Linked DNA regions of Caenorhabditis elegans. The protein of the gene in region 3 interacts with the protein of the main gene of each other region in a biochemical or structural test. Each region holds a gene or a part of one and is shown on either strand. Other genes may lie near its edges.

Region 1 (9,092 bases), on a different chromosome or scaffold from region 3:
ATGAAATATTTTCAGTACAAAAAACCCACTCAATAATAATCTGCGCCGTCGATGTTCCAATATCCATTGATCGTTTTCTTCCAGAGCCCCCTTGGTTCGCATTCGTGGAGTCCGTTTGCTGAAAAATTTCTCATGACATTTAAAAATAATTTTGAAATGAAAAATTGCCGAAAAAAACCCACCTGTCCTGTTGGAGTTGCCGGTACAACTGTAATTTCATCATGCACAAATCCTTGATTTTCAGACATTTTTTACTGGAATTATTATAAAATTTCAAAAAATTGAGAAAAAAGGGACAAAATTTATAAGCAAAGACGTTGGCTCAACAAACAAATAAATAAGATTTTGTTTTCAAAAATAGACAAAAAATTATTTGAAATGTTTCGAAACTCGAAAATATTTTCAAGAAAAAGGTCAATAAAGTTAATAGAGTGAGGAAAATAGTTTCACAACTTTTTATTTGTTTGCTCGGACATTATTTCCTTCTCTGATAAGACCATTTCAGTATTGGTCACTGCTTTGATAAGGGGTTTCTTGTCGGAAATACATAGATCTGTCTCAAAGTTCTTAACTTTTTTCGAAGTGGACTCATTCGAAATTGTATTCATTTAATCTGACATCTGGCAAAAGTTTATTCTGAGGAAATTAAAATAAACATTTGAGATTGAGAATTCTGAATTCACTCGAAGCCTATGGCCTACGCCTATGACTTACGCCTATGGCAAACGCCTATGGCCTCCGCCTATGGCCTACGCCTACGGTCTACGCCTATGGCCTACGCCTATTACCTACGCCTATTACCTAAGCCTATGGCCTACGCCTATAGCAACCGTCTTTGACCAATGCCTATGGCCTACGCCTATGGCCTACGCCTATGGCCTACGCCTATGGCCTACGCCTATGGCCTACGCCTATGGCCTACGCCTATGACAAAAAAAAAGATCAAACTTCAATGTCCACAAATATCATATTCAAATCAAAAATTCAAACCAAAAAAAATTTTGGCGCACTAATATCCCGATTGTTTATTCGACCATTCTGTTCCCGCTCTTTTTAGATCAAATAAATTTCAAAACAACAGACTCACAAACTTTATTTGATTTTTTTTTGAGAAAGAAATAAAAAATAAAAACGAGTTGGGGGGACTGATTTGATACAAGACAGGAAGATGGTGAATGATGAAAAATTTGAATAAGCGAATTTTTGAATGAGGAAAATTTTTTAGAGAATAAATAAATTAATTAAATATCTGAAATAAAAACAAAACCTCGAGAGAGAAAATTTAGAAAAAAAAACGAGACGGCTACGGACGGGCTGACGTGATGGAATTATTTACGGCCAAATCTGAAAATAAAATGGATTATATTTTGTTTTAGGCCATAGACGTAGGTCATAGGCGTAGACCATAGGCGTAGGCCATATACGTAGGCCATATACGTAGGCCATAGGCGTAGGCCATAGGCGTAGGCCATAGGCGTAGGCCACAGGCGTAGGCCACAGGCGTAGGCCATATACGTAGGCCATATACGTAGGCCATAGGCGTAGGCCATAGGCGTAGGCCATAGGCGTAGGCCACAGGCGTAGGCCATAGGCGTAGGCCATAGGCGTAGGCCATAGGCGTAGGCCATAGGCGTAGGCCATAGGCGTAGGCCATAGGCGTAATCTCGAAAAATAAAATTAAAAATTACCGTAATCGTTCCGCATTATTGAGAGAAGCCACCAGGGAGTCTCTGTTCAGCGCACGTTTGATTCTGAAATAATTTTTAGTTTCAGGAGGATTTCCTCAAAAAATTTGAAAAATTTTCATCCCAATGACCCGACCAAACGCCACGACTTTCTGATTCCGAGAAAAATGTCCTTTTTTTTTCAAACTCTCTGCCAAATTTCTAATTATCTATTCAACCATTTGTCATTCGAATTGTACATTTTAAAATTGTATTTTGTTGAGAGGGTTTAAATCTTGAAAATTCGGAAACATCTTTTTATAGCTTTGAAGCTTAAGCGCCCCCACGTCATAAAACTCCTCCGCTAATCCACTTTCAATTAGTTCCAAATTTTGATCTACGTTCCAAAATGCAGGAACAAACAGGTGAAATTTTGATTAATCACTAATTTATTCTATATTTACTACTTCAAAATTTCACCTGCCTCCTAAATTTTGTTCTTCAATTTTCAGGCCTAGGCTAGGCTATAGGCCTAGGCCGGGCTATAGGCCTAGGCCAGGCTATAGGTCTAGGCTAGGCCATAGGTCTCGGCTAAGCTGTAGGTAACTGTAGGCCTAGAATATAGGTCTAGGCTATAGACCTAGGCTATAAGCCTGCCTAGGTTCTTTTACCCCAGTGAGAAACTCACAATGCGTACGGATAACGTCCTTCCGAGTAGAGGTACTGATCTTCCGATGATGGAATGATGACATTACTGAAAATCACAAATTTCTCATAGGCTACATTACTTTTATAATTGCAAAGTTCTTATTTCAAATGACGTGATGATTTCGAAGAAAAGTGGTGGGTTGTTGCTGGAGCAAACAAGTTTGTAAAGAGCATCTCCTTTTGCTAGACACAAATTTGAGATTTCCGGTCAAAACACACACTTTTATTGGATTTCGAAAGGTTGGAGTGCGTTGAAATTATTGAAAAATGTCACTCGGAAATTGAAAATGTTAAAAAAAACTTAAATTTTCAAGAAAAATGAACTGAAAAGATAGAAAAAGTGCACACTACGTACCGATCGCTGGGCTCCAAATTGTGGAAAAAGTTTAGAAATCGCATAGGTTTGAACCAGCGTCTAGAATTTTTTCCATGACCAACTAGTTTTCAAATTTCTGCGCGTCAAATCTGGTGTTCCTCGATGCACCATATCTTACGCGCAAATTTCCCAGTACTCACTTTTCTTCCCACATTGCGGGGTCCGATCGTTTGCCGTATCGAAGCCGTCCAGCATTATTGATAGCTGATGCAAATGTGGAAATGTCTGCTTTTTTCTCCAGTGGCAGGGATAGTACGCTGCAAAACTTTTTTATGTCGTGACACAGCTGAAACTATTGCTACAGTAATCCTTTTTACTTGAATATCATAACATAGTCTAAGTATACACGTGGTGTTAGAGTGTCCCATTTCGGCTTGATCTACGTAGATCTACAAAAAATGCGGGAGAAGAGACGCAGAGTTCTCAACTGATTTTGTATAGTTAAGGACGTGCTGACGTCACATTTTTCTGGGCAGAAAATTCCCGCATTTTTTGTAGATCAAACCGTAATGGGACAGCTTGACGCCACGTGAGTATACCGAATATAACTGTTTTAAAAAATTATATAATTTTTCCAAATTTTCGAGGATTTTTTATATACATTCTTAAAAAAGTTTACAGGGACTACGATTTTTTTTAATTCCAGCGCAAATGAACGGAAATTTGAAATTTTCAAATTTAAATTTAAACTACGCCCAGAAATGTATTAAAGGCGCATGCCCAAGTTTTGGTGGGTCTCGTCGCGATTTGTGAAATTTCAGTTTTTGATGCATCATGTTCGAAATTCAAAATGTATGAAATTTCTAAATAGGAAACAGGTTAAAACTTTAAAAAATTTTTAAAAAAATTTCAATTTTTAGAATTTTTGGTTCAACTATTAACAGTATTACTACATATCTGAATTTATCAAAAATTTGTTGATCCAAATCTAGATGGGGGATTAAGCCTAGTTTTTGATTGTTTTGAGATGCTTCCTTGTTGACTTTTTCACAATTTATTACTCATGAGCATTGACTAATACTCCAAATTAATCCCCTTTTGTTTCAGAATTACTTTTTTTTTGTGGATTTTCAAAAAAGATCATGAAAAAAATCCTACTTATCTCAATTTTGCCACGTCATTGAGAAAAGTTGAACTGCAATTTTTGGTCGAAAACATTTTTTTCAAACAGAAATTCACCTGCCATGATGTTTTGCGCAGACAAGCTAAATTTAGATTTCGAAAAGATTTAAATTTGAGTAAGTAACTGAGTAGTAAGTTCAAAAATTAGAAAACATCAAGTTTTTATAATTTTTAGATTTTTTAAAATTGTTCTGATTTTTTTCCAAAGTTATCCCAATTAATTTTGTGATTCTAAAAATTGTCTTAAACTGAAATGAACATAAGCTTATCCAAAAAATTAAAAAAAAAGCTCAGAAATTCAAACTTCGACCCAAAAAATTTTAACCAAATTTTGGATTTTTTTTTCTTTTTTCCAAAAATTCAAAAAAAAAACCTTATAACTTACAAATTAACACATATATTTAATGAGACTATAGTAATTTTTTTTTTGAAAAATATTGAGTTTTTTCTAATTATCCTAGATGATACTGCACCCTTAAAATAGTTTTTGAACAAAAATCATTAAAAAAATTTTTGCAAAATATTTTTGGCCCAACCAATGTATTAAGTTATAGATTTTGGTTCAGTTAAAGGTACTACAGTAATACTACAGTAATACTACAGTAATACACTATAGTAATGTTAAAATAATGTAGGATCACAGTAAACAGAAATATGGTCTCTTACCAAATTTTAAAACAAAATTTTCGTATTTAAAAAAATTCAAAAAATTCATAACCAACAACTTTCAAATTAAAAAAAATCATATAATAAAACTACCGTACTTTCAACAAAAAAAATCTACAGTACCATTCCCTACAGTACCCCTACAGTACCCCCACAGTACCCCCACAGTACCAACCTGTCAGTTAAAACCAAAGCAACAAAAATCAGAGCCATCAAAAATTGGAACTGCATGTTTTAGAAAATATGTTTAGTAGTGGAAAATGTGTGTGAGTGTATGTATCGGGTGTCGAAAACAGAATGAGCTTTCTCCCCCCTCTTGCTCGCCGAGCCAAAAGTGGGCGGCGCCTAATGGTGGGTGCTCCCAGGAAATGATGCCTGCCTTTCATCACATTCTTCTTTAATTTTTTCTTGTTGCCACGTCATCACACACAGCTACGGTATTTTTATATACTATACGATGAATCCATGACAATAATACGATTGTTTTACGACTTTTTGGGTGGTAAATTAGGTTTTAGGCTTAAAGCAGGAAGAAGCTAAACGGAAATGTGGTGCCAATTAAATGGAATGGTTTTAAACCGAAATTGGGTAACCGGATAGAATTTGTTAGCGGTTTTCGAGGAGGGAAATATGGAAAAACAGAAAAATATACACAGATATATACATGTATATATTTCAATTTTGAAAGCATCACCGCGTCACTTTTATTTGCGAAAAAACAAATTATTTTCCCTCTCTGCCAAAATTACAATTTCATAATTGGGTTCCTACGAGGGAGTGGGCTCAGGAATTTCTGAAATAGCTGAAATATTATAGTTTTGAAATTTCTAAAAATTTTAGCAATTCCGGCAATTTTTTTCGAAAATTTATACAGAAATATAGAAAAACATTTGTACTTTCTGATAATGGTATTACTTTTTTCTTTAAAAATTCAAAAAGCTGCTCAAAACCCACCTAAAAGTCAAAATGTGCCGATAGAGTCAGTGACCCTAGGTGCATTACGGCCGGCTTTGAGGCAGTTTTTCGGCAATTTCTCAAACATTTTAAATAAAGATAAAATTGTTTTCAGAAAGAACAGATATTTCTCTACATTTCTATATAATTTTCCAAAAAAATATTTTCAAAAAATTTTTTTGGATAAAAATGAGTTTTGTAAATGAGCCCCATCCCTCTGTTTGGAAATAAAAATAAAAATAAAAAGTAAATTTCCTCAATTTCAAATTTTCCAAAAATTGTTGATGCTATGCAATTTCCGACAGCAGGCACCTAATTGCCTGCCTGCCTTCAAAGCAAACCCCATGAAGAAACTTAATGGAAATGAAAATAGACAGAAATTAGCAAATATGCATTTTTATTGGAGGCGGCGGTAGGCAATAGGTAGGCACATAGGCAGGCAGGTCTCCTTCTAACGCGTCCACGAGAAAGATAAAACCCGTCCACATTTAAATTTCGAACAAGGTAATTTTTATCGACTTTTATATTTTTCTACGTCACATATAGTAATCTATATCGGTTTTACCTATAAAAATTGCGGGAAATTCATCGGTATGACGTCACTTGAATTTTACTGCGAGACCTTCCAAAAATACTATGTTTGCGAGTTTCGAAAGCCTAATTGCTTCCTCATATTTTTGAATACATTTTTTTCAAATGTAGTTTCATAATAAAAAAAGTGATTCTGCATAAATAAAATGTTGATCTAGTTATCAAAAAACCCTTCACCTGGTACAAATGAAATTTGATTCGTTTTTGCTTTTCAAAAACCAATTTTTGATCTAGTTTCATAGATTTTGACAACTTTTGTTTGCTAAAGAGCTCAGATTATTTGAAGAATTTTAGGAATATTGTACCAAAAAAAAGTTCAAGTACCTACCTGCTTGCCAAGGTTAAATTTTCTAGTTGTAAGCCTTTAGAATCTTCTTTAGAGCTTTGAAATGAACCATGTAATTGTCTTAAAAAATAATTAAAAAAATTACCTGACAGAAAGAAGAACTGTGAAGAAAATGAGCAATTCTGTGATCAAGCTGTGCATTTTTATTCTGCAACGGGGGTACCTGAAAGTAAAATTTTTAGAGATTGAGCTGAATTTCAAAGGAATTCAGCAAAAATTTCCGAGAAAATGAGAGTTTGAGGTGAAATGCGGCTGCTACGTGGCCTAGGAAATTGGAAACTCGGCCATGAGTATTTTTTTTAATTTAAAAACCTCGAGATTAGCATACAGTATTCATACTAGAGGCCGCAAAAAACAAAAAATATCAAAAATAAATTCCTGGCCGAATTTTCTAATTTTCGCGGCCACGTCTGGACCAGAGTCAGAAACTGCAAGATTCCTGTAAAAATTCGAATAATACACGTAAAATTGTGAAAACTCAGGAAATCCTTCAACAAGTCCGTCGTATTTCGGAATGAAAAATTCATTAGCACCGCATATTATTTGAGACACAAAGCGCAAAAAAAGGAAATTTCCGAATTCGAATACAAATTAATATTTAATTTTTTTATTCTTGTTGTTAGAGGGCATGATGTCAATGTATATGAGGAAATCTGTATAGAGAGAAAATAATTTAAAGGGCATGAGAACTTGATGCAAATCAAGCACGTGGTCTGCAAATTTCAAAATTTTCGGCAAAGTGCCGGTTTGCCGAATTTGCCGGAAATTTTCAATTCCAAAATTTTGCCGATTAGCCGACAATTTTCATTTCTGGCAAATTATCGGTTTGCCGAATTTGCCGGAAATTCTATATTCCGGCAATTTGCCGATTAACCGGAAATGTTAATTTTTGGCAAATCGCCGGTTTGTCGAATTTGTCGGAAATTTTCAACTCCGACCATTTTCCGGATTTCCGGCAATTTTTGTTTTTGGCAAATTGCCGGTTTGCCGAATTTGCCGGAAACTCGAAAAACGGCAAATTGCCGACTTTGCCGGTAAAAATATTTACCGCGCACCTCTGGTCTTAATACACTCATACATTCAGATTTTCAAATTTTCAAATGTTTGAGAATATTTCAGGTTTTTCAAAAATTTTATATAGACAAAGTTATTGGCAAAAAATCTAATTTTCCAAAAAAAAAGAGGGTTGACCTCCAAAATTGGCGAAAGGGGAAATTTAGTTTTCCCTTTTTTGACTTCAATTAAAAAAACTCAAAAAAAAATTCTACCGTAATTTCGGCTGAGTGTGACGTCAATTTTCTAAAATATTTCTTTACTACAGTTGACCATGGGAAAATGGAAATTTTGGAACTTTCGAGAAATAAAAATTGCCACGAAATTTCCTCGTACATATTTCATAATTAGCAGTGAGAATAAATGACGTTAGAGAACTAAAAATAATTTTGAGATCCCAAATATAGATTGTTGTGAGAACTACATTTGGGTAAACATATCGTTTTTAGGTAGAGTTTTTGTAAATTTTCAGAGATCCCATGAAAATTTGAAGACACAAGGCAAATTGACTGAAGTTTTGCACCGTTTATTTAGTTCACCATAAGGCCAAAACATTTTCTAATCAATTCCAAGTAACCAAAAAGGTTAATTAAAAAATTTCTAATCAATCAGAATCGTCTAAGCGTCATTCACCTGATTGATGAATTTGTTTTGGTATTGACAAATTAGAAAAAAGGTTAAGAACCAAAACTATCTAACAACAAAAAATTTCGTAAACTGGAAAACTGGGACTCGTTTTGGTTTAGAAATAGTTTAACAACTTTAGAAATTTCTAGGCCCTACAAGGTCCTGTGCAAATATAGTTGTTGTTTTTGGCATGCCTACGAAAGTACCTACGCCTGCTTTATGCCTACTTCAATACAAACCCTCCAGTTTACTGACAATTCACAAAATTAGAAAGTAGGTAGGCGTGCCTGCCTCCGCTGCCTAGCAGCTCTAGAGCCAACGTCGCTGATTGGTCGGTGTTTTTAGGGACATGAAAATTGAATAATTCCCTTTGAAATCGGGCTAGCTTGCATTCTGAGGAAATGTGTTTTTTTTTGGAAAACTCTAAAGATTTTTTGGATTACCGAAAAAAGAAGGTTTAAAGAATTTTCACCTAGACACAGGATTACTGTAAAGGCACAGTCACGTAAATAAGCATCAGACATACTAAATTCTAAAAAATTATTTGAAGCCGTCATGAGACGCCAAAAATAACATAAACTATTATTTACCAGACCACTTTTTGTGATACACTTTTCCATAAAAAATACGATTAGAAACCAGATCAGACATTTGATCTAATCCCGTAATTCTGACCTACTCGCTCATCCCCGTTCATTTCTCGAGAACTTGGACGCCCACCGACTTGGGAAGCCGATGTGTTTGGGTAAATAATATTTATGACACTATTTTGTGTTCTTAGGAAGGATAAACATAATTTTTATATTTTATTTTGTCTTGTGTTATTTTTTTCAGGAAATCATAGATTCGGTGCAAAATGAGGGAACGGCTTGATAGCTTTCCGACCTGATTAAAACCTCGTACTTTTTCTTAAAGGAACACTGGACCTTTTATATGTTGCTAAAATGGGCAACTATTATAATAAAATTTTTCTAAATTATTTTTT
Region 2 (7,997 bases), on a different chromosome or scaffold from region 3:
TAGCTTTTTCCAAACTTTCGCCGACTTTGCTAAACTTTGTCAGTGTTCTAAAAAAAACGGAGTTTTTCAATTTTGAGTTCTCTAACTAAATAATTTCCCATTTTAGAGGAGTTTCAAAATTGTGATTTTTTGCAATAAATTGTCCATTTTTGCCACTAATGGTTTTTGACGGGTTAAACCTAGATTTTCTGAATTGTCCATATACGATTTACCCGTTTTCAACAAATTTAGGCAACTTTTTATTTTTGCCCATTTTCATTTTTCTGCCATCTAACGGCTGTCCTTTTTTTTGGGGAAAAAAATAATTTTTCTGAAAATGTACAAATTAAAACCGCTACATTCTGAAAAAGGGCATTTTTTAAGTGTTCGGAGAGCAATGTTGAGTCCTCTAACTACAAAATTGCCCATTTTAGAAAAGTTTCAAAATCGTGCAATTTTTCAAAAACTTCTGTCAGCTTTTGCCAACTTTCGCAAACGTTTGCCTGCTTTTACCAAAAGTTACCAACTTTTGCCAAACTTTGCTAAATTTTGCCAAACTTCGCGAACTCTTGCCAAATTTAACAAACTTTTCAAAATTAATTTCTTACAGGCAATGGCTGGACTCAACGTTGGATGCTTCCTCGGCATCGCTGCCATTTTCGTTGCAAATCTTGTCAACGATAAGATTCTACAGCGCTCGCAAAAGTTCAATAAATACGATCGTGGAGTTTACGTGCAGTAATTCGGCAGAAGTCTTGGGATTTTTTATTGCTCATTTTCATGTAAATTTCTAATACGATCTACTTATATTTATTCTTTTTTTTTTGTTCCATTTATCTCGAAGGGATCTTATAATTGCGTTTTTGTTCATTTTTTGGAATTATTGACAAAAATTCTAATAAAAAATTTACCGTACATTTTAAAAAATTCGAAGTGTTTTTTTTTCTGAGCATTCCAGCAAAACTTGTCAAAAAATCCAGATTCCCAGAAATTTCTACAAGACCCAGAAGTTTGCTTTCTTTAAATCGTTTTTAAAGTGGTTCATCGTGAACCTTGTTTAATGTCGGTTGCGCACTTATCTTCCTCTGACTTCTAGAAAATAACTCTTAACCAACGACAAGATTTATTACAATTTCTTCTTTCGACAATGCTGAGAGGGAGAGAGAAAAGAGATAGAGAGAAAAATATAGAAAAAAAAATCTTTCAAAAAAAAATGGTGTACTGTAGTTCCGTCTTTTTCTTCTTTTATTTGTATGGTTTTCAAAGATGTTTCTTCGATGATAGTAGATATTCCCTTCTTATTTGCGTCCGAAACGCAAGTATTCGTGCTTTCTCTTTCCGAATCTGAAAAAAATAGGGGAAATTTGATGGAACACAATTTCCTTTAGAGACATCGTGTGACATTTGATTTAGAAACAAACAAAAAGAACACCGAATTTGAGTCGAAAATTCAATTTTTGAAGTTTAATAGTGTTACGGAAAAGTGCGAAGATCAGAGCTTGTTCTCTCCGTTAAATTGTGCTCGAAAAATCACGGATTTCTGGCTTCCCTCATAAATTGAAATGGAAGAGTTTGCCAAACTAGGCCATTTTGGCTCGGTCATAGCTGGGGTAGATTTACGGCGCATTGCGTGTCGCGTCGCGGCTTGATTTTAGTTGTAAATCTAAATCACTTGTCCGTGTGGAGTACACGACTTTCCCACGCGTTGTCCGGCAGGCGATTGTCAATGGAGCGCGAAAAATGCAATGAGGAAGGCCTGAACCCCGTGAAAGTGGGAAAAAAAATTCGCGCATAAAATTCGATGCACAGACATCATATTTTACGCGCAAGTTTGTTACACGATTTTTCAGCCACAAATACAGGTCTCGACGCGACAAATTTTTCGTTAAATTCGAAAAGGTGTGCGACTTTGATTTTCATCGATTTTTCAAAGTTTTTCTATCATTTCCTCGAGAATTTGTCCGTATTATTTTTGTGTAAATAAATAATATTTTGCAGGACACTACAGTAATCTTTATAGGCTTTTGAATTCCTTCTGTATTAAAAAAAAACAAGCAAATTCGTGTAGAGACCTGAGAAGTATTACGGTGACGCAAAAATGACAATTTTTCGAAAAAAAAGTGCAATTGCGCTCCAAACGCTGCCATAATTTGGGTCTCGTTAAGAAAATTGGTTCCAAAAATTTCCTGGGTGTATTCATTTGTACGTTGGAGCGTATTTGCCCCCATCTAACAGTTGCAGCTTTTTGCGGCGCCATAATAACATCTGCCTACTACTGCCTGCCTATTGCCTGCTTATTGTCTTCCTACTCCCTGTCTGCCTACTGCCTGCCTACTGATTGCCTACTGCCTGTCTATTCCCTGCCTGCCTATTGCCTGCTTATTGTCTACCTACTCTCTGTCTGCCTACTGCCTGCCTACACCCTGCCTACTGTCTTCCTACTGCCTGCCTTACAACTAAAAAAAAATCACAAACCTCAAGTACTCGTGCTTCCTTTTTCCAAATCTGAGATACTCGTGCTTTCTCTTTCCGAATCGGAGGTATTCGTGCTTGCGCTTCTCCATGTCATTGTCTCCCTCGTTGGTCTCCTCCTCGAGAGCCAATCCTGCAACAACGTTTCCCATTGGGATCAGACCTCAAAGCAAGAGCACAACCATCATTAAGAATTTAAAAAGAATTTGGCGCTTTACATTTTAAAAGTCAGGGGCTTTTTCAAGAAAATGGCGGAACGTGATTGATAGTCTAGGCTTTCGGCTGGGTCACCGGAGGCTTATTTGATGCAGAGAAAATGAAGTTTGACTCATGCAGCTGGCAAATCGGATGTCTACTGTCTGCCTGCCTACTGCCTAGTTCCTGCCTACTGCCTAGTTTCTGCTTTCAGCCTACCTACTGCCTACCTACCAGGCCTGCCGGATTTTCTGCTTTTTTTTTTGAAATAATTTTGCTTTAAAAAAACCGAAAAATCGAAAAAACAAATTTCGGCGGCGCCCCTGTTTCCTACTTCTGCATACTGCCTGCTACTGCCTACTTACTGTCTGCCTACTGCCTGCTGCCTGCCTGCCTACTGCCAATTTTCGTTTTTCAGATTCCAATTTTACGGTATTTCCATTTTTCGGTTTTGCTAAGACAGAAAACCAAAAAAACTGGATAAGGCACCCCTGCTGCCTACTGCCTGTCTACTACCTGCCTACTGCCTACCTACTGCCTACCTACCAGGCCTGCCGGATTTTCGGTGTTTTTTAAAGAAAAAATTCGTTTTTCGGTTTTGCTAAAAAAAAACCAAAGGGAAAAAACTGGCAAAGGCACCCCTTCTGCCAACTGCTTGCCTACTGCTTGCCTACTGCCTACCTACAGCCTGCATACTACCTGCCTACTGCATGCCTACTGCCTACTGTCTACCTACTAGGCTTGCCGGTTTTCCTGTTTTCCGGTTTTGCTAAGACAGAAAACCAAATAAACTGGCATAGGCACCCCTGCTACCTACTGCCTGCCTACTGCCTGCCTACTGCCTGCCTGCTGCCAACTTTCGTTTTTCAGATTCCCATTTTACGGTTTTTCGATTTTTCGATTTTGCTATAAAACAACCAAAAAAAAACTGGCATAGGCACCCCTGCTGCCTACTGCCTGTCTACTGCCTGCTTACTGCCTACCTAGTATTTGCCTACTACCTGCCTACTGCATGCCTACTGCCTAGTTCCTGCCTTCAGCCTACCTACTGCCTACCTGGCCTGCCGGATTTTCTGTTTTTTTTTTTTTAATTTTCGTTTTTCGGTTTTGCTAAAAAAAAAACAGAAAAATCGAAAAAACAAATTTCGGCGGTGCCTCTGTTTCCTACTACCCGCCTACTGCCTTCCTACTGCCTGCCTGCTGCCTGCCGGATTTTCGGTTTATTTGAAAAAATTGTTGTTTTTCTGTTATGCTCAAAAAACCAAAAAAACCTGGCATAGGCACCTCTGCTGCCTACTGCCTGTCTACTGCCTGCCTACTATCTACCTACTATCTGCCTACTGCCTGCCTACTGCCAACTTTCGTTTTTCAGACTCCAATTTTACGGTATTCCGATTTTTCGGTTTTGCCCAAAAAAACCGAAAAACCTGGCAAAGGCACCCCTTCTGCCTACTGCCTGCCGACTGCCTACCTACTGCCTGCCTATTGCCTACCTACCAGGGCTGCCGGATCTTCGGTTTTTTTTTAAATTTTTTGTTTTTCTGTTATGCTCAAAAACAACCGAAAAATCGAAAAAAAAATTTTCGGCGGTGCCCCTGTTTCCTACTGCCTGCCTCTTGCCTGCCTACTGCCTACCTACTACCTGCCTACTTACCGTGAGTCTGAACGAGACGTTCAACTCCCTCCGAAACGAGAGCTCCGAGCTGAGCAAGAAGCATGCTGCTCTCGCTTAATTGGCACAAAAGCGCCTCTTGTTGATCGCCGTTGTTGGCCAGAATCTGGAAAATGTGTTTTTTTACAGTAGTACGTTTTTCAAACCCAGTGATTATTCCGGAACAAAATCCTTGGGAAAAGCACGAAAATTACATGGTTTCAAAAAAAAAACCAACCGGAAGCCTTGTAATTATAGGTTCAGATTTTTGTCGAGGACTACGGTGAGATGAAGCCCGTATTTGACAGCTCATATCTCGGCTATCTTTAGCTTTATCAAAAAGTTGTTAACTAGAAAAATATAGGTTTTTTCTTTTTCTGCAACTTTATAGTTTAAAAAATTTTGCTATCTATAAAATGAACCGAGTTATGATCTACCAAAGTGGAGTTCTAAAAAAACTTTGATCTACTACTTTCCAACCCCACAAAAAAACACATTCAAATCAAACAGAGAATAGTATGATCAGGTTAGAATCATCTAGATTAACTATGAAAAAGAAAATAGATTTTTTTTCTATTCATCGCAAGTTGTTTAATCTTTATTGTGCATCCAATCCTCCCCCGAAAAATGAGCAGAAATTGTGATCTTATTAAGTTTACTACAACCGAAACGTCATGAGGATCAAAAGAATATCATATTTATCAAATTTTTTGTCCAGAAAATGTGACGGCAGCACGTTCTTAACCATGCGAAATCAGTTAAGAAGTCTGCGTCTAAGTTCCCGCGATTCTCGTAGATCTGCGTAGATCAAACCAATACACAGTAGTCATTAGTTTTCGCTGCGTGATATTTTGCGCGTCAAATATGTTGCGCAGTACGCATTCTCAGAATTTTGAGAACCATGGGATGTATGACGTCACGCAGGCCCTAACTTAGTTTTCGAAAAACTTTTCCAAAATGCACTAAACTATCTCATTATAACTTCCACTTGCAGTTTTGAAAAAAAAAACTTTTTTAAACCCAATTATAAACATGACTTTAAACTTCTTAGAACAAAATGGTTTTTTTTTGACTCACCGCTTGACAATCCTTCGGATTGTGTGGAGCCTGTGCGGCTCCAGAAGCTCCGGCTCCAGCCGGTGCCTCCTGGCCACTGGCGGCCACGACGAACGCGGAGAGCAGAAGCGCGGTGGGCAGGCAGATCATCATATGAAGAGAGCTCTCAGTTGGAGCCAGAGGAGACTTCAAAATGGGCGGAGCTCGGTGTTGAAAGTGAAATGTTGTGGGCGTGGCTTGGTAGAGCTCGAGGAGAAGAAAAAAAAATGAAACAAAATTCAAGAGTACGGTAGCACTAAAAATTTTACGAAAAAAAAAACAAATACTAATTAGCCGAGGGGATGGGGTCCCCGGATTAGCAGGATTTCGCTAAAATTTTCCGGGAAAATTGGAAAAGAGAAAACACCTCAAACATCTGAGAATCTGCCCCGGAAGTAATAAAAAATAAAAAAAACCAAAAAAAATGTATCGGAGGTTCCGTAAGGAGGCCCAGGGGCATATTGAGTTAAGTGACAGAGGAGGTCAATGTTTGAACAGAGCAGATGTATTGATAGGTCAGGCTAGGCAAGTCTAGGAGTCTAGTGAAGAGTAGGCAAGGCTAGGTGAGCCTAGGCTAGGTGAGGCTAGGCTAGGCTAGGCTAGGACAGACTAGGTTAGGTTAGGCTAGACTCGGTAAGAATAGGACAAATTAAGCTAGGCCAGGTTAGGCAGGCGATGGATAAGTTAGGTAAGGCTAGGCCAGGCTAGGCTAAGCTAGGCAGGGATAGGTGAGGGTAGGCTTGGCTAGGCTTGACTAGGTTTGGCTAGGCTTGGCTAGGCTTGGCAAGACTGGGAAGTTAGATTAAGCTAGGCCCGGCTAGGTAGACATAGGATAAGATAGGTAAGATAAGGTTGGACTAGGTTAGTTAAGGGTATACTAAGCTAGGCTAGGCTAGGCTAGGTGAGGCTAGACTAGGTAGGCGTAGGATACGTTATGTAAGGTTGGCTAGGCTAGGCAAGACTGGGATTCTAGGCAAGGTTAGCCAAGCTGGGAGTCTAGGCTAAAATATGCTTGGCTAGGCTGGGCTAGGCCAGCCTAGACCAGCCTAGACCAGCCTAGGCTTTGCTCAAACTATTCCCAAATTAAACGTTCAGAACAAAAAAGGAAGTATAGAACCATCGCTTAATGTTGTTTTCGTGCAATTCTCCACGTGGTGCTCCGTTTTTTTTTCTTCTAAAATTTGTGTGTGCTCGTTAAGTGTTTTCTTTTCTTTTTTCACTCGAAAGAGGCTGCTCTAATTGGTCTGACTTTGTGAAAAATTGTAACTTCCAGAACAAAATAACACATTTGTCTTTTTTTGAATTGCCGCATAGTGACATAACTTGGGTCTCGTTAGGTTTTTGGCGACAAAATCGTAAATTCAAACTTTTTTATATCTCCTGATTTCGTTAATTTTTCTAATTTTTTCAGTGTGTTTTAATGTTTTTTGTGACGAAAAAAATCAAAAAATCAAAAAATCGAAAAAAATCATTAAAAATAACGAATAATAGCTAAAACGACCAAATTCCTAATGAGACCCATTTTATGAAGACGGAGCGTTCCGAGAGAGTTGGGAACATCGGCCATGACCGCGACGGAGCTTCAAAAAATTTGCGGAAATGATGCACAGGCTTCTAGCCTTCCTCATCGATTTTTTCGCGCTCCATTGACAATCGGCCGCCGGGAAAGTCGTGTGAACTCCACACGGACATTTAGTTTTACAATCGAGCCGCGACGCGACACGCAACGCGCCGTAAATCTACCCCAGATATGGCCGAGCCAAAATGGCCTAGTTCGGCAAACTCTTCCATTTCAATTTATGAGGGAAGCCAGAAATCCGTGGCCTTGGCCGCGGCCTAGGTTCTCAGTAAACTCTGCCATTTCAAGATATGAGGGACTCTGAAAGCCCGTGAAGAAGGGCCAATTTTAGGTAGTAAATAGGCTTCTTAAGCCCACGCATTCTTCAAGAAAAGTCGTCAACAACATCAGGTCAGTTTCCCTCGGGCTTTTTGTACTTTCTTAACCTATTTATCTGCCTTTTTCTTGTTTTTGTTTTCTTTTTTCCCATTATTTTTTTTTCTAATTAACGCTCATTCCAGATAGATTTTTTCCATGATATAACTTCTTCCTATGAGCTCCGAAAATTTTTTTTTGTAGGAAAATGGAAAATAATTAGAATTTGGAATTTTAGTCCCAAAAATCATCAAAAACAAAAAAGACGGGCGGCTCCCAGTTTTTCTGGAGTCTCTGGGGTATTCATTAGCGCGCGGAGCAACGTCAACTGGAATTTTTTCTGGGGAACGAAATTCGGTGATTCTGCCCGGAATTTGGGACGTTTCAAAGAAAAGTCCATTAGTAGAAGAGAATGTACGGTGGTGGATTTGATTAGAAAATGGACTAAAGTTTGGTAAGTACGCTCCAGTGATAAATTCTTGGCGCGAGAATTTGAATAATTCATAAAAGGGAGCTTGTAATAATATTTATATATTTTTTTCCAGACAACCTAAAAATTTACGATTGTTCACCCAAATATTAGGAGGTCTCAGAGGAGCTTTATAACTTAGTATTACTTTTTTTAACGGGGATTTGTAATTTATCACGAAAAATATGGTCTCGCCACGAAAA
Region 3 (6,524 bases):
TGCTCAATTATCACTGAATGTTGATTCAAGCCCCAATAGCTACTACAATCCTTCTCAACGCTGGAAGTATTGTATTTGGATGCATCGGCGGAATTGTACTTGGATGGATTCTGTGGAGATTCCCAAGATCAGATGCTCCACACACTCAATTCGCAAGAATAACTCTTCTTGGTACTATTTGTATTGCAGTTGTTATTGGAACTTATCTTATCAAGTACTCCTGCTCTGGTTTTCTCGCCGCTCTCATCACTAGTGCAATGAGTGCAATGCAATGGAAAGCAGATAATAAAGAGAAGTTAGAATGCGTTGAGTCTACATATAAATACATATGGGATTCCTTCGCGCTTCCACTTCTTTTTATCTGCCTCGGAATGAAGTTTGACTGCTCAACTGTAAGTAGTTAGAGATTGATGTTTTCAAAGTGTCATTTTCAGCTGACATGGGAGATTGTGTTTTTGTGCATTGCTGTTATTGCAATTGGTCTGTTAGTAAGAACGATTTTGGTAATGTTGGTAACACTCTCCTCACACATTAATTTCAAAGAGCAAATTGTTGTTGCTCTGAGCTTGCTTCCAAGAGCCACTTTCCAGGTTTGTGCACAGTTTTTTTTGGTATCATGTTTTTTTCACTCTATTAGTATGAAACACATAAAATTTCAAAATGTTAAACACAGTGGAACTTTAGCTGAAAATTTGCTAATTTAGGCCGACCTTGCTCCAACTCTACTTTTGATGGCTACACCATTCCCAGACATGGCCAAGGATGCAGCACTCATCTTAAAAGCTGCCATTTTATCTGTTCTAATCACAGCTCCTATTTTTGATATTCTTCTCAATCTTGTTGGATCTAAATGTCTCTCTCAATACAATCCACAGGTAGCGTTCTCACTCCCATTTTTGAAATGCAATGTGAAACAAATTTTCATTCAGGATGCGCCGGCAATTGAGAAAAATTTTGACAAAACCTATATGAATGGTGATCATGTTGATGAAACCATCTATGCCGCCCGTCCGAAGACATATTCGGAATACCGCAGTGAAGCTGTTATCGAAAGATATTAAAAATTTACCCAAACTTTTTAGATTTTATTACAATTTTCCTCTGAAAAAAAAAACAAAATAATTCCTAATTTCCCATATTTATAATATTATTATCAAGTCAATTCAAATTCAATTTAAATGACCATAACCAGGAAAAGACATTTCACCAATTTTCCAATTCGATTTATTTTACTTATCCACATCTACCAATTTCCCGTTCCAGCATGTTTTTAAATATGTCATTCTGAAATTTCGTCATGATTCTGTTATACCCTTCTTACTTGAACCATATCTGATCTTATCAACCACACCAGTTGAACCAATTTTTTGTAACCAATATGAAATTTCATTTACAAATATTTTATCAAAATGTGACAAGAAGAAGAAACAAAAGATAAATCAGCATCAAGCAAGATTTGTGCAAATACAGCAGTGCATAAGTTAAGTATAACCACATAGTTTAGATCAGGACAGGTTTGATCAGAGATTTAGCTGAAAAAATCTTAGGAAAGAAAAACAATATGACCAAAAAAATAAAATGTTGAATAAGTGTTTTTATGAAAATTACATATGAAGGCAAGTGGAAAGCGGATAAATGTACTGGCAAGTGACATGACTAAAAGCGACTTTTGTTCTGACTTTCCGGTTTTGTATTGAGCGGCTTAAAGCAGAAGCGTCTGACAACTTGATCCGTTCTCAGGCTCATCGAGATACACGATACTGCGCTGCGGCTCCACTGCAGTTTGAAGTGGACTCTCTGAATCTGTTTCTAAAGATTGCTGGTTTGTTGAAAAGTTCACTGACAACGAGTGCATGCAGGGAATGAATGGCTTCCTATTCTTCGTTGGATGTCGGGTGTAAAAGTTCTTAACGAAGAATAACTAAGGATCAAACAACATAAAAGTAAAACTCACCAGAAATCACCGTAACAGGCTGTTCCTCCACTTTTTTTTTTCGGTTTGCACGTCGAAACGGGTTAGTTATCATAGCGGTGCGTTCTAAAAAAAAAGCTAAGCAAAAATAACTTCAAATTTATCAGGTTTTACCAGTGATGACGCGAATTGGACCAGTTCCAGGACGACGCGCAAACAAGCAGGGAACAACTTTTGCGAACTCCTCACTGAAAATGAGCATTGCAAGAAAATGAAAATTAAATAATTCAATTTATTGAATTTAATTTAATTGAATTTAATTGAATTTTGAACTGTGCAAATTTTTTAAATAATCCTAAATTTACCAAAAAGTGTCTTTTTTTTTAGTTTAATCTGTTTCTAATTATAAGAAGAAACAGTGTCACGAGAGGAAATTTTATTGAGTATTTATAAAAAATAAATTTTTAATAAAATAAATGAGAACTGAACACACAAATGCAGTCTAAGATAAAACTTCTTGACTTTTTATCAATTGTATTTTCTAGCACATGTTTACGTATCAAATTTTATAACTTGTATTTTCAACCTGAACGAGAAGAAAACAACCCCTCGTAATCTTTTAACTGCAATTTATTTTCCAATAAATCGTTGAGTCACTAATGATTATCAATTGTTGTCTGTATTGTTTAAAACGGGTTTTCGACCAGACGGCGGCGAAATGCAAATCCCATAAACCCACCGGAAGGTCTCATTCATGAATGCGTAGAGGATTGGATTCCAGGCGGTAGCTGTCATACTCATCAAATGCACGGAAAGGAAAACAAAACTGAAGTAGCCACGCATGAAATTATCCAACTTGAGATCTCGGAGACAGTTTCTGAATTTATTTCAAATATATGACATATTATTCACTTCTAAACTAACAAGAGGTTGAATGGGAACCAGCAAATTGCGAAGATGACCACCATGACAATCAACATCCGTAGTAAACGCTTTTTGCGCTTGATATCGGATTTTCTCTCGGTCATACTTTGACGGCTATTTAGGAACAACCATATTTTTATGTAACTAATGGCAATGAGTACAAATGGCAAAATGAACTGAAAATTGATTTGTGCATAGGCATAGATATATGTATATATAATCCCCCGGTAATTTATACAAATAATTTCATTGTCCCCAACTCACTTGAAGAATCATCACCACAATTCCAAAAATAGATCGAAATTCGGCATTGCTCCAGTCCTCACTACATATCAGAAAATCACATGGTTCATGAATGTAGTTGAGCTTCATGTTGATGGCATACGGAGTGACCAGAAGCAATGAGCATAGCCAAATGAGGACAATGAACGAAAGGCAAGACTGAATTTGGTATGTACGAAAGTTTCAAAAAAATTTTAAAAATTAGAATTTTTTCCAATTACAAAGTTGTTCTACACCGAAAACAGGAAAAACTATTATTTTCATGGAGGTTACTTTGTTAACTGTACTTCAAAAACACCTTTCTATAGACTAAGAAATGAGAGTTTTGGTTTTTTGGAGTTAGGTTTTTTATTGATACATTGTTCCTGCTCAACTTACTCTCATGGACATTCTATCATTTATATTGATATTTGATGAGTTGTGCACGATCACTATGTATCGATCTATGGCTATAGCCGTAAGTGTCCACGTACTGATGAAGATACTTGTACCTGTATAGTTAGATGCTTGATCACTGCTTAACTTCCCGTCTATATGTAAACCAATACCTTGGAACAGGGGTAAACCATGACACAATCCACCTCCGAATATCCAATGTCCTATTGAGGTGTATGTTGGTGTAAGCCACAACGATCTGAATATAAGAACCGGATATATCACTTCCGATTTCAAAAAAAACCCACGTAAAGTTAACCATTATATCAGAAACTGCGAGATTTGTAATAAAAATGTTGGTGATCGTCTGCATTCGCTTGTTCGTCATCACAACGTACACCACCTTAAACACAGTTGTTGGAAAACTGGAGAAATCGAAAATGATATTACTTACCAAAAAATTACCGGAACTAGCAACCAAAAAAACAGCACAATACATAGAAATAAAGAATGGGCGGAAATATTCCATTTCCATGGGGTTCTGAAACGTGTTTTTTTAAAATAAAAATTACTCGGCTTCAGTTAAAATAATTCATAATCAAATAGTTTCAATGAACATTTTTGATTTTTTTTCAAACGTTCACGAACAATTTTGGACACGAAAACTTACGTTTTTGATTTTACATGTACTTTGATATGAAGGTGTTGTTTCATTTAGTATAGAAGACACTGAAGGCACGAGATCATTCGACATCTGAATCAAATATTATCAGAAATTGGGATAAACGAAGAGCTGAAAATATTAGAATCGGGAGATAAATCGAGTACATTTTAAGAATTGTGAACTGGATATGTTTGGTTGCGATGTGTCTCGTTTAGACCTCTTTAAGTTCATAATATTCTGACGTGGGCGCGGTGGAAGAGTCGGAAATGAACTTGATTTTAAGGAGAAAAAACGAGATTTGACACGTTTCATAGAGCAAAAGATGTTAGAAGTATTTTCAAATTTAAAGCTCCCAAAAGAATATAAAATTGAGAATATGTTAAGTCAGTTATGAAAATTTAATGATATTCGCATCTTTGCAATTGACACTAGAAGAGCGACCACATCTAAACTAGAAATCTACATAGTTCATATAATACAAAACTGATGTCATGATTTTTGAAAAAAAAAATCAATAAAAATTACAATATTAATAATACACTATTAAACAGATTCAATAGAACCCAAAGTTTTCAATGATTTTTTAAAAATTGTTTGTTTTCAATTCTTCTTGTCAATCAAATAAAAAAGAGAACATGAGCCAAACACTTCCCTCATTTTCTTATTTTCTCACTTTCTGTGTGAGACTTGCAATTCTAGACGCGAAAAGTGAATCTCAAAGTGAGAAAAGAGGAGGCGTCGTGAACTTTTAAAAGGGAAAGAATCCATATACATGTGAGAAATTTTCTCTTTTTCGAAATAAGCTGAGACCCTTCTTTTTTCCCTTTACGTTAAACAAACTACATACTCATTTATTTAAAATTTGCCTAAAAACTGGTACGCAAACGCACAAAGCGAATCGAGAGTCCTTTGATTTATGTTATGAATTCATCTTCGATGAAGCGAATTTTGAATTTCCTATAAAAAACAGAAAGAAAGGGTCGAAATTCGAAGAAGAAGACGCTTACGTAAGTTCAACAAGCTAGATTCAAATTATTTGGTTTCAATTGAAAATCAGAAATGAAATATGGACGTGGAGAAGAAATAGAAAAAAGATAATGTAAGGAGCCAATGGATTTAATCTCTCTAAATGGTGGGATGTGAAACATTCATGAGATGTAGGCTACTACGAACCAAGGATAATGTTATTATCTTGATTGATAAAGCTCTCATTGTTGCAAAAAAAAGGACTCGCATAGTAGGTGACCTTTTTTAGAACATTTCCTTTTGATAGTTTCGTCTTTGCCCTTGCCCTGTCTATGTATAGGGTTCATCCGTCTATTCTCTATTTTTCGTCTGGAAATCCGACTCCAATACCGCGGAAATTGAATTTCGACCGGGCGATGAGGGGCACCAGAAAAAAGTCGAGAAAAACTGAAGCACTCCTTGAGGTGGAAAAGGAGAAACGTTGCACATGAACTAAAGTAAACAATTCTGAGAGGGCGGATAAGCTTTGGTGAAACTGAGACAACCAAATACAGCTCAAAATTGTAAGGCAAAGGATAGAAATTGGATAATGAGCGTAGGAAAACATTTTTGAAAACAGAAATCAGAATAAATCGAAAATTAATATAAATTTTAGCTCAAGGAGTATACTTGATGACACAACGAAAATTTTAATGAAACGTCACATTTATCAAAATAGATAAGTGAGCACGGTTTGGAGAAAAAATCAGTTGACCGAGAACAAAAAACTCAGACGTTTTTCTTCTAATTCATAATATTTACTAGTCAGATAAAAATTTGATTCGAACGACGAAACTAAAGTGAATCAAATTGGTTGGTGAGTTCTGTGTTCTCCGAAAATGATGATGATATGTTTTCAGCAAAAAGCCTCAAAAACCATGATCAGCTTCACTTATTCACTCATATCTTCGGGAAGAGTTCGAAAAAAACAACAAAATCAGAAATTGTTTCGATTGTATGTAATTTTGTTGAAAACGTATTGAATATATGTGAACTTGTATTTGTATTTAAATATGCCAATATTGAATGGGTAAATTTAGGGGAAAAACTAGAATAATTGCATCTGCACTGTACAGCTTCATCAGCCGTTTACTGAATATATTCTAAAAATGTTTTCTACTTATTCTGACGATTATTGTAATATTTCTTGTATTAAAAAATAAAAATGTTGCGATTAAAATAGTACAACCTAGAAAATTCCTGAATTAACGTTTTTGAAGCAATATTCAAAGCCAGGAAATAACTTGTAGATAATAAACAACTTACACTTGAATTAGAAAATGAGAGATATTCCGTCGAAAGTGAATAATGGTGAGATGTTCAGACAAAATTATTATATATATATAGTTCAGACAAATTATG

What was found. The genes of interacting proteins can lie anywhere in the genome.
Region 1: of the proteins of npr-6 (region 3) and flp-34, one has a biochemical effect on the other in vitro, tested with the Caenorhabditis elegans proteins (one study listed by BioGRID).
Region 2: of the proteins of npr-6 (region 3) and flp-14, one has a biochemical effect on the other in vitro, tested with the Caenorhabditis elegans proteins (one study listed by BioGRID).

The regions. Positions count from the first base shown.
Region 1 is NC_003283.11:1,026,818-1,035,909, forward strand, and holds flp-34 (FMRF-Like Peptide), read right to left. Parts: upstream 6,588-9,092; 5' UTR 6,569-6,587; coding exon 6,513-6,568; intron 4,836-6,512; exon of another isoform or gene 4,768-4,835; coding exon of another isoform or gene 4,712-4,767; intron 3,006-4,711; coding exon 2,889-3,005; intron 2,419-2,888; coding exon 2,353-2,418; intron 1,752-2,352; coding exon 1,689-1,751; intron 1,345-1,688; coding exon 1,329-1,344; 3' UTR 1,077-1,328; downstream 1-1,076. Other genes in the region: R09A1.3 (UPF0496 protein), read right to left, coding at 30-118, 183-248.
Region 2 is NC_003281.10:12,908,021-12,916,017, reverse strand, and holds flp-14 (KHEYLRF-amide 4), read right to left. Parts: upstream 5,509-7,997; 5' UTR 5,507-5,508; coding exon 5,375-5,506; intron 4,425-5,374; coding exon 4,301-4,424; intron 2,585-4,300; coding exon 2,455-2,584; intron 1,324-2,454; coding exon 1,278-1,323; 3' UTR 1,088-1,277; downstream 1-1,087. Other genes in the region: Y37D8A.16 (MARVEL domain-containing protein), read left to right, coding at 590-721.
Region 3 is NC_003284.9:10,281,449-10,287,972, forward strand, and holds npr-6 (G-protein coupled receptors family 1 profile domain-containing protein), read right to left. Parts: upstream 4,287-6,524; 5' UTR 4,248-4,286; coding exon 4,164-4,247; intron 4,035-4,163; coding exon 3,948-4,034; intron 3,897-3,947; coding exon 3,802-3,896; intron 3,753-3,801; coding exon 3,667-3,752; intron 3,610-3,666; coding exon 3,497-3,609; intron 3,278-3,496; coding exon 3,101-3,277; intron 3,013-3,100; coding exon 2,837-3,012; intron 2,790-2,836; coding exon 2,652-2,789; intron 2,161-2,651; coding exon 2,087-2,160; intron 2,039-2,086; coding exon 1,955-2,038; intron 1,798-1,954; coding exon 1,703-1,797; 3' UTR 1,371-1,702; downstream 1-1,370. Other genes in the region: slc-9B.1 (Cation/H+ exchanger transmembrane domain-containing protein), read left to right, coding at 31-392, 435-590, 705-875, 930-1,061.